Linked DNA regions of Arabidopsis thaliana. The protein of the gene in region 2 interacts with the protein of the main gene of each other region in a pairwise test. Each region holds a gene or a part of one and is shown on either strand. Other genes may lie near its edges.

Region 1 (4,720 bases), on a different chromosome or scaffold from region 2:
ACTATATCTTCAACACACAAGGTAATCATCCAGTAAGAACACATGTATATTCGACGTAATTTCCTCCCCATAAATCACTACTCAAGAGTCAGGAATAGAACCAAAAAAACACCTTTAGCTCAAATGTAGGAGATAGCACTTTGTATCAATACCTGGCTGAGGAAAACAATGCCAGCTTGTTGGGAATTTAACAAACGAAGACCGGTTTTGATTCCACTAACAATATTATCAGCATTTTGGAAATGCACTTCTAACAGAGATGGAAACTGTAGAAGTAAGCTCGCCAATGCTGGGATAATCTCATCGAACCATCTCTTTGATTCTTTCTCATCAATCAACTGCGAGTACCAAAAACTTAGTTCCACTACTCAATTCGATTTGAAGATACACTCAAATCCAAAAGCAATCACCATAAAGTTAAAAAGAGATAATTACTTCGTCAAAGAGAAATGCGTAGCCATTAGAAGCAGATGGCTCGAGAGTAGAGAAAGATAAGGATCGTCTCATATCGAAAATAGCTTGCCGTAGAACCTCTCCTGAGTCAACTTGGCTGTGAGATGGTCCTTCAGACATTGCCTTTAACGCCTCCACCACACGCGGCGGCCAATACAGCGACGACGAACGAATTACAAGTGGAAGGTACGGAAGAATTGAGTTAAGATCTTCGCGATTCTCCATTTTTCGATTTTTCTAATCTCACAGCTGTTCTCAATTGCTTTTGAAACAGGTTTACGAATCGCTTCTGCGACAAGATTCTGCTGCCGCTAGAAGATACTCAAGTCCCGGAGTAAAAAATCTAAAAAAGTCAAGAGTGCGAAGGCGAAAGGCAAACCGGTTTTGTAGAACCGGGAAGTTGGAACTTGAACCATATCGGTAATGTATTGGTTTAGTGGCAATAACATCCTCGTTAGCTATCTGGTTAACTCATTTTAAGTTAAAAGCCAGTTTCGAGTTATTTCACACTCACCAGTTTGGAATCTTGATACAGACAACGAACGTATTGACGGAAAACGCTAAAAGAAAGTGACTGGAAAATAGAAGGTGTGTGTAACATAACATTTATTTTTTTCTAACGTGTAGGAAACGGTGGCTCACTATGGAACCCACAGCGTAGACTTTGACTTATCAACGCTTACATAGTCAAGTCAATAACAAAATTCGCTATATCAATAATACAGTTTTGCAACTTTCTATATTCACATTTTCTACTTTATTATTTTCCCATAAAACTTCCTGGAAGAATTTAAATCAAAAAAAAAATGTACAATTTAGCCCATTTCACAGGTCAGGATTATCAGTTTTTATAATGGTTTTTTCTTCTTTAGACTTTAATTAAAAACAGAACTCTTATTAAGAATATACAAATAATTCAAAAAGTATACGCTGAATCAATGTTTCTCCAAAACCATTGATAACTAAATATCATAATATAAAATACAATTTTGTTAGGAGATCTTATGTAAGAATTCAGTAATCTATCATTAATATCAAACTAATCAAATAAAATACTAGCAATAGAAAACCCCATTTTTTCGATATGAAACCGGGGCTTGGATGGATCCCTTGAACAAACCATAAATTTTTCAAACTGTTAATTTAAGTTTACCAATTATATGTATAAGTGTATAACAATATTAAGAAATTAACTTGTGAATATATTTTGTAACTTTATTTTTTTTGGGTCAAATATATTTTGTCACTTCAAAAATAAAGTTTTAGAAGAAAAAAAAAACCACGAAACACGTAAAGATTTCTCAATAGATTAGTACCAGTTGCTGACCATAAATAGACAGAGTGTAGACTCCGACAACATCCACAAGAAGAAACTTTCTCTAATTAAAATGGCTGTTCCCACGGGAAGCGCCAATCTCTTTCTCCGGCCTCTCATCCTCGCCGTTCTCTCCTTTCTTCTTCTCTCTTCATTCGTCTCCTCTGTTGAGTGGCTCGATATCGATTCCTCAGATCTCAAAGCTCTTCAGGTCATCGAAACAGAGCTCGGAGTCAACAGTCAACGTTCTTCGGCCAGTGATGTCAACCCTTGCGGTCGCCGAGGAGTTTTCTGCGAGAGACGGCACTCTGCCACCACCGGAGAATACGTTCTCCGTGTCACGAGGCTCGTCTACCGATCCAGGAGCTTGACGGGGACTATCTCTCCGGTCATCGGAATGTTGTCGGAGCTCAAGGAACTTACTTTGTCTAATAACCAGTTGGTCAACGCTGTTCCGGTGGATATCTTAAGCTGTAAGCAACTTGAAGTTCTTGATCTTCGGAAAAATAGATTTTCCGGTCAGATTCCGGGAAACTTTTCTAGTTTGAGCCGTCTTCGAATCCTTGATCTCTCTTCGAACAAGTTATCCGGGAACTTGAATTTCTTGAAGAATCTACGCAATCTGGAGAATCTCTCTGTTGCAAACAATCTCTTCTCAGGCAAAATCCCGGAACAAATTGTGTCGTTCCACAATCTCCGGTTCTTTGATTTCTCCGGAAACCGGTATTTGGAAGGTCCGGCTCCGGTTATGAGCAGTATCAAGCTTCAGACATCTCCACATCAAACAAGACACATTCTTGCTGAAACTCCAACTTCAAGTCCCACGAACAAACCCAACAACAGCACTACATCAAAAGCTCCAAAGGGAGCTCCAAAACCAGGGAAGTTGAAGAAGAAGAAGAAGAAGAGCAAGAAGAAGAAAGTAGCGGCATGGATCTTAGGGTTTGTCGTTGGAGCCATAGGAGGAACAATCTCTGGGTTTGTCTTCTCGGTGTTGTTCAAATTGATTATTCAAGCAATAAGAGGATCAGAAAAACCACCAGGTCCTTCCATATTCAGCCCATTGATCAAGAAAGCTGAAGATTTAGCTTTCTTGGAGAATGAAGAAGCGTTAGCTTCTCTGGAGATCATAGGAAGAGGAGGTTGTGGAGAAGTTTTCAAAGCTGAACTACCAGGAAGCAATGGGAAGATCATAGCTGTGAAGAAAGTGATCCAACCGCCTAAAGACGCCGATGAACTAACAGATGAAGATTCCAAGTTTCTGAACAAGAAAATGAGGCAAATTAGATCCGAGATCAACACAGTCGGCCATATCCGGCACCGGAATCTTCTCCCATTGTTAGCACACGTGTCAAGACCCGAGTGCCACTACCTCGTTTACGAGTACATGGAAAAGGGGAGTTTGCAAGATATATTGACTGACGTACAAGCTGGAAATCAAGAACTAATGTGGCCAGCGAGGCACAAGATTGCTTTAGGTATAGCTGCAGGGCTTGAGTACCTTCACATGGATCATAACCCACGAATCATTCACAGAGACTTAAAGCCAGCCAATGTTCTTCTTGATGATGACATGGAAGCCAGAATTTCAGATTTCGGACTGGCAAAGGCAATGCCAGATGCAGTCACACATATTACAACCTCGCATGTTGCAGGTACTGTGGGATACATAGCACCAGAGTTTTATCAAACCCACAAGTTCACAGATAAATGTGATATCTATAGTTTTGGAGTGATTCTTGGGATTCTGGTGATTGGGAAGCTTCCTTCAGATGAGTTTTTTCAGCATACTGACGAGATGAGTCTGATAAAGTGGATGAGGAACATAATAACATCGGAAAATCCTAGCCTTGCGATTGATCCGAAGTTGATGGATCAAGGATTCGATGAACAGATGCTTCTGGTTCTGAAGATCGCCTGTTACTGTACTTTGGATGATCCAAAACAGAGGCCGAACAGTAAAGATGTCAGGACCATGTTGTCCCAGATCAAGCACTAGTGTTTCAATATGTATTGTTTGCTTCTATCTATATTTCCTAGATTCCTGTTGCATACGAAATAACTATGAACACAATCTTGGCAGAAATTTGTAATGGCGACTGTAAAATTTAAATGGATTTCAATTATGATTATTGCTCTAAACATAAATCATCAATCTACTATAAGAATCTTAGCTATATACATAACGGAAAAGAACACTTGATTAACAACCTTAAAATGACAACACATTACATGTTTGGTTACTTGTCTTCTCTATATGCAGCCGGTGAGAATCTCCCTCAAATATTCTAGCTGTTCATGACTGCCTTCATGTTCTTCCCACTAAAAATAATAAAAACAAAGTCAACACATGTTCAGTATGTACTCCTGATTGAGATGGGAAAACATATCAATTATGCAAGAGCATGTGAGATCTTTTTACTATTGAACAGAACAAGTATTCTAAAAATGGAGACAATTTCTTATCCTAGCAACTCAATTTTATATCAGTTTCCATTTTTCAACGTTATAGACCCACCTCTTGAAGAGACAGAGATACCACTTTCCATCCAGCAGCAGCAACATATCGCCGCTTCAGCATTGTATGCCCTAATGGTAGTCCTGTAGAACACAAGAGTCGAAATGATCATTAAGTTTGGGTTGGCTCCACCAGACACCAATATATATTAAGAAACAGAGTGATGTCACTTACCAGAGTTTCTTGAAAAATGAGTTGGCCCGTCGATTTCTAAAGCAACTTTCTTCTCGACCAGAGCAACATCCACGGTGTAGCCATCCACATCATGTTCTTTAGCCCAATCAAGCCCTGTACTTATAAGAAGGCGTCCAACTTCTTTCTGAAACGATGAGGTTATTTTCTGATTGAATCTTTTGGTTTTTCCTGCGCGGCTTATTTTTTCTTCGAGTTCTTGACAAAGTGACAACTGAAGGTGGGGGCACTCAAGCTTCAAG
Region 2 (4,866 bases):
TACCTGAATCCGTAAGTTTTTCTTTAAAGGATATAGGTACAAACAAAGCTACAGAACAAACACATAAAGATCTGAAATTTCTATGTTAATATAGAAACAACAATAAGACTTCACTGAGAATCAAGCAAACATATAGAAAACTAAGAACAAGCTAATAATAACATATGCAGCTCAAGCTTAGTACACGAACTAAAAATTTCCAGAATTCGTAATTCAATATACATACCAATGCAATCAGATCATAATCTCTTTCAAAATTCAATTTCAAAGCTCGTAAAATCAAATCGATTCGAATAAGAAGAGATACGAACCATGATGAGGGAGATCTCGAGAGGAGGAAGGAGAGCGAGGTTAGAGTGAAAGAGCGGCACAGAATCTGAGATCTCTACAACTCCGTCGTCCTTAGGGCTGATTCTACCGACGAGGACTCCGTTGACCGCCGCCGTCTTGTGTCGCAGCGAGTGAAGAACGAGTTTGATGTACGCGTTCTGGGAGATCTCATACTTCAATTCTCCGTTACTTCCCATTCCCATTTCTAACTCGATCGGCGACTCACTGAGTCAATTGAAAGGAAAATTATAATGTCGCAAAAGCAAATCGAGAAATCGTTCTGAGATTTAGCTCCTTTGTTAACGACGGACAGTGGAATCTCGCACTAAACCGGGTTCGGGTCAGCCCGATTTTATCACCGAAAACCCTATTCCCCACAAGTTTTCACTTTACTACATTAAAGTTTTTGAAATTATAGAAAAAGTCAAAAAGGTTTATTATATTTACTAATTGCACCTCATAATACACATCAAGTGACGACAAAAAAAAAAATACACATCAAGTTTTACATTACTTCTAAACTACACCATCTATTTCATTATCGTACAAATAAACCCACCAAGCCCTCTTGTCACATTATGATATCAAAATATTTTTATTAGTATACTTTACTACACTAATTTGATATCAAAACTGAACCAATTTTACAAACTAAAACCTGAAGAAGAAAAAGTAAAACTCATTTTTTTTCTCTTTGGCAATCTAATCAAATTGTAAAACTATACGATATTTGCAGTTATCGTCTTGGAGAGAAGTGGGTCAACAGAAACTACGGTTACTCCGGTCTCTCCTCCTCCGTCGTCAGCCTCGGCTTTAGGTTTTGAAACGGTGACGTTTTGCTTTGGCAGCTGCTTGTTTGACATGTGATCGATGGATTTCCCCGGAAGATTGAGCCACGTGTAGACAGACATGCCTCCAAGAGCTGCGATAGCGCCGCAGATGCTGATGAAACCAGGGTCAGAGCCGAAGATAACGTAACCTCCAAGCAAGATCACACATGTCTTGAATTGCCCTAATACTACATGAGATGTTGCTGATGTTGCCCTGTAAGAAACAACAAATTTAGTTAGCATTTTATAACCTCAAGACTGAACTTCCAACCAAAGCAAGAGAACAAAAAGACTAACCCGAGAGCGAGTGCACCAGACCATTGGAGAAGAAAGCCGAGAAGAGCCGAGATGAGGATTGCGGAAGAGTTAGTTAAATCCCATTTGAAAAGCAAAACTCCAGGTGGGTCAAGCCATGGCATGAGAGCCAACAAGAAGAAGACAGTAAACGGTGTTGTCTTCCACATCAATCTACATTCAATAAAGCCTTTATTTTAAGAGACTTGTATTGCTTACACCTCAAGTAAAAGTAAAAGAGAGAGATTCTTATTTCTTACGCTAGGGCAGTCCAATTAGCTTGTTGCTGAAGATTAGACCAGAGTATTTTGTTAATGGCACTTGGAATAATCCAAGCAACAGCAACTAATGCACCAAACAAATTAAATTCTAGATCCGTCACTGTCGCGATTGCCACACCTAGAGATACTACAGCTAATGCCATGACCTGTAAGAGGACAAATTGCAAAAACAGAGTAAGCACCAAAAACATGTAATGAATTCTTGATTGTTTTGTTGACATGTCATAAAAGATATAAGCGAAACCTTTGTGGAAGAAATGGTTTTCTTGAAGAGAACAAACTCGGCAAGAACAATCGTTGGTGTAACTGCGATCTTAGCCATTTGATAGAATCCAACGCTGGAAACAAAGAAGAACAAAAGCTTTCAAGCTTAAGCTATGAATCTTGATTCAAACTTTAGCGATTGAGCTATGAACCTATTGTGTTTGAGACTGGTATTAGCGAGTCCAGAAGCAAAGGCCATGACAGCTCCAAGAGAGAAAAGAGATGAGAAAGGTGTTGTCTTTGATGGAGGAGACATTGGAAGCAAAGAGAGAGACTTGAAGAAAGCTAAAAGAATCCAAGCCACGGTATAATGAATCAATGTTAGAAAGATTGGGAAATTGAATCCAACTCTTCCCATCACCTGCACAATTCAACCTTACAATTACATTCACATGGTAAATAAAAAAAAGAGAAAGAAGAATTTGAGATTGAAGAAACCAAATTACTAATTTATTGGCAAGGATGATTCCAACAGCAACAACGAAATTAAAGGACATTGCAACAACAGGGCCACAAAATCTCTGTTGTTGCCTTTTAGCTCCTTCTGATGTTTTAAGCTCATTGTACAAAGAACTTCTGAGTTCTTCCAAAGCTCGTCCTACAAATTCACAAACAGATCAAAAAAGCCTAAAGGTCCGATCAAAACCATTAAAGATCCGATCAAAACCATTTAACTTAAACGGTGAAGAACAGAGACAACGTGGGAATAAATAAAGCATCATTTTTGATCATGAGAAATCTGAATTATGATGAGGCAAATCAAATGAAGAATATGGAGGCAGATTCATGAATTGTTGTTATAATAATGACGTACCTGCTTCTGCAGCATCACTATCTTTCCTTTTGAGAAATTTTCTTGCATCTTTTCCTAACAAAGAATCAACCAGACCCATCACACAGCAAATTAACAAAAATAAAAAATTTGCAATCCTCTCTCCGATTGTTTTAATATCTTCTAAGAAAAAAACCAGATCACATTTTCCATTTTGATGGAAGAAAAACTTTACTTTTAAACAAATAATACGAAAATGACTGAAAAAAATCTGGATTTTAATGTCATGGTATAATTGTTTCGGCTGTTGTACAAGAAGCAGAGCCCTTATAGAGAGAGAGAGAGAGAGAAAAAAAGATAGAAATTTAGCAGTTTGCTTGAAAACGCAGTTTCATTGCGTATCTTTCTGTTTTATTTTATTTTAAATCAATTTATCTCGAAAATTAAGAAAATTTTGAGGAATTTTTCAGGGATTTTTTTTGTTTCTCTTGAGGAAATTGTCGAGTTTGTAATTTGCCACGTGTTGACTTCATCAACGTACAAAATTGTGACTTCATTGATAAAAAATTATTCAGATCGGTACGAGGTTTTATCTTTCTTTCTTTTTTAATGCACAAAACATTCAGATTTTAGTGGTAGTTTTTATTTACAAGAGTGCCTCTGTACCTAACAAAATTAAAACACACACATATATATATATATATATATATGACATTAACTAACTACCAATTTTGTGATCACAATAATGACATTGTACATTTTTGTACATAGTTTAAGCTGCTAGCTTATAGTCATAAGCATATAGACGTCACCTCACGCAACATACTGTTGTGGAAACATAACACTATCAGTAAAAAAAATTAACTTTGAAAGAGTAGCGTTAATTAGTTCCGCAACCTACCAAAAGAAAGAAAGAAAGAAGTGTTAGTTAGCCAAATGATTAAATAGCAAAAGCTTTGGTTAAGTGTCATACGTATAAAGAGTAAATTAAATGAATTTTATGTATAAGTGATGAAAGTTGATGATACTTAAAAAGCTTATTATCACTTTACGAATAAAAATGACTTAACATGTACGCTTGACCTCGAAAACGAGAAGCTTTAATTCCAAGATTTCGAAGTCTCAACAAACTTTTGGAGCCGAGGGCCTACGTAATAAAACAAAAAGCTTGCATGGCCACGTCATCATCTCTTTGTATAAGTAAACTTCTTATTCTAATAAAAATGTAAGATTTGTGGATCCACTACTTTAATTTCTGTCGATTTTAGTATGATTGAAACATTAACACCGATAAAGTCAGGTCCCCTGGTCGTCTTTTGGTTCATAAAGGTAATCCCATTTTGGCGAAATTTGTTTGAACTTGGAAGTGGAAGAAGTGAAAATACATGTAGCACAAGACTGAGATTGACGAGCCTTATTGATTCGGCCCATTTTTATTCAGACCTTATGTTAGTTAACTGGCCCGATCAGCCGCCTGATGGCTGGTGAATAAACCCGATCATTACTCAATAAATCACACAATTATTATTGTAAATCTTTTTCATCTAACTAAAATACTGAACTTTCTAAACAATTGACCATTTTGTTTTGTTTATTGTTTTACAGAAGAATTAATGTTTCCATGCATTACGGATTTATAGTTAAGATTTTAAAGTCTAGAGGTTAGATTTAATTAGAGTTTGAATTTAAATTATTTTATTAATTTATGAAACTCTACACTATTTTTTTTAATAATGTTGATACAAAATTTAGGTTATTCACGTAATTCTCGTATTATGAATTTATTATGTACTTGACAGAATTATTTCATCAATCTTTTTTTCGTTAATTTTTTCCCAAAATTTTAGCCCATGTTTTTAAAAACATGGGGCCAACTTTTGATCATGATTCATGCATGATATCAAGCACTAATTTGTCATTTCCTAACAAATTTCCTGATAGAAAACTTGGGTCAACGTTCTGGTACGGTAATATTAAAAATTTATAATCAAGAAATGGAACTTCGTGCCATAAAATAAAATAGTAAGAAAATGGTAATCACGTGTAAGTAAATATTAATCGAGTGCTTGTTTTGGAATAGAAGAAATAAATCTGT

The links. Proteins that work in one complex are often made in the same cells at the same time.
Region 1: the proteins of AT5G55950 (region 2) and SOBIR1 interact in a protein complementation assay, tested with the Arabidopsis thaliana proteins (one large-scale study listed by BioGRID).

The regions. Positions count from the first base shown.
Region 1 is NC_003071.7:13,553,079-13,557,798, forward strand, and holds SOBIR1 (Leucine-rich repeat protein kinase family protein), read left to right. Parts: upstream 1-1,815; 5' UTR 1,816-1,841; coding exon 1,842-3,767; 3' UTR 3,768-3,899; downstream 3,900-4,720. Other genes in the region: TEJ (Poly (ADP-ribose) glycohydrolase (PARG)), read right to left, coding at 153-338, 436-678; RAP, read right to left, coding at 4,022-4,090, 4,287-4,369, 4,461-4,720. UniProt on the Arabidopsis thaliana protein: Dual specificity kinase acting on both serine/threonine- and tyrosine-containing substrates. Acting as a counterplayer of BIR1, promotes the activation of plant defense and cell death.
Region 2 is NC_003076.8:22,657,362-22,662,227, forward strand, and holds AT5G55950 (Nucleotide/sugar transporter family protein), read right to left. Parts: upstream 3,145-4,866; 5' UTR 2,893-3,144; coding exon 2,814-2,892; intron 2,666-2,813; exon of another isoform or gene 2,598-2,665; coding exon 2,446-2,597; exon of another isoform or gene 2,361-2,445; coding exon 2,152-2,360; intron 2,074-2,151; coding exon 1,980-2,073; intron 1,882-1,979; coding exon 1,715-1,881; intron 1,629-1,714; coding exon 1,458-1,628; coding exon of another isoform or gene 1,397-1,457; exon of another isoform or gene 1,375-1,396; coding exon 1,050-1,374; 3' UTR 751-1,049; downstream 1-750. Other genes in the region: emb2731 (Uncharacterized protein family (UPF0172)), read right to left, coding at 312-533.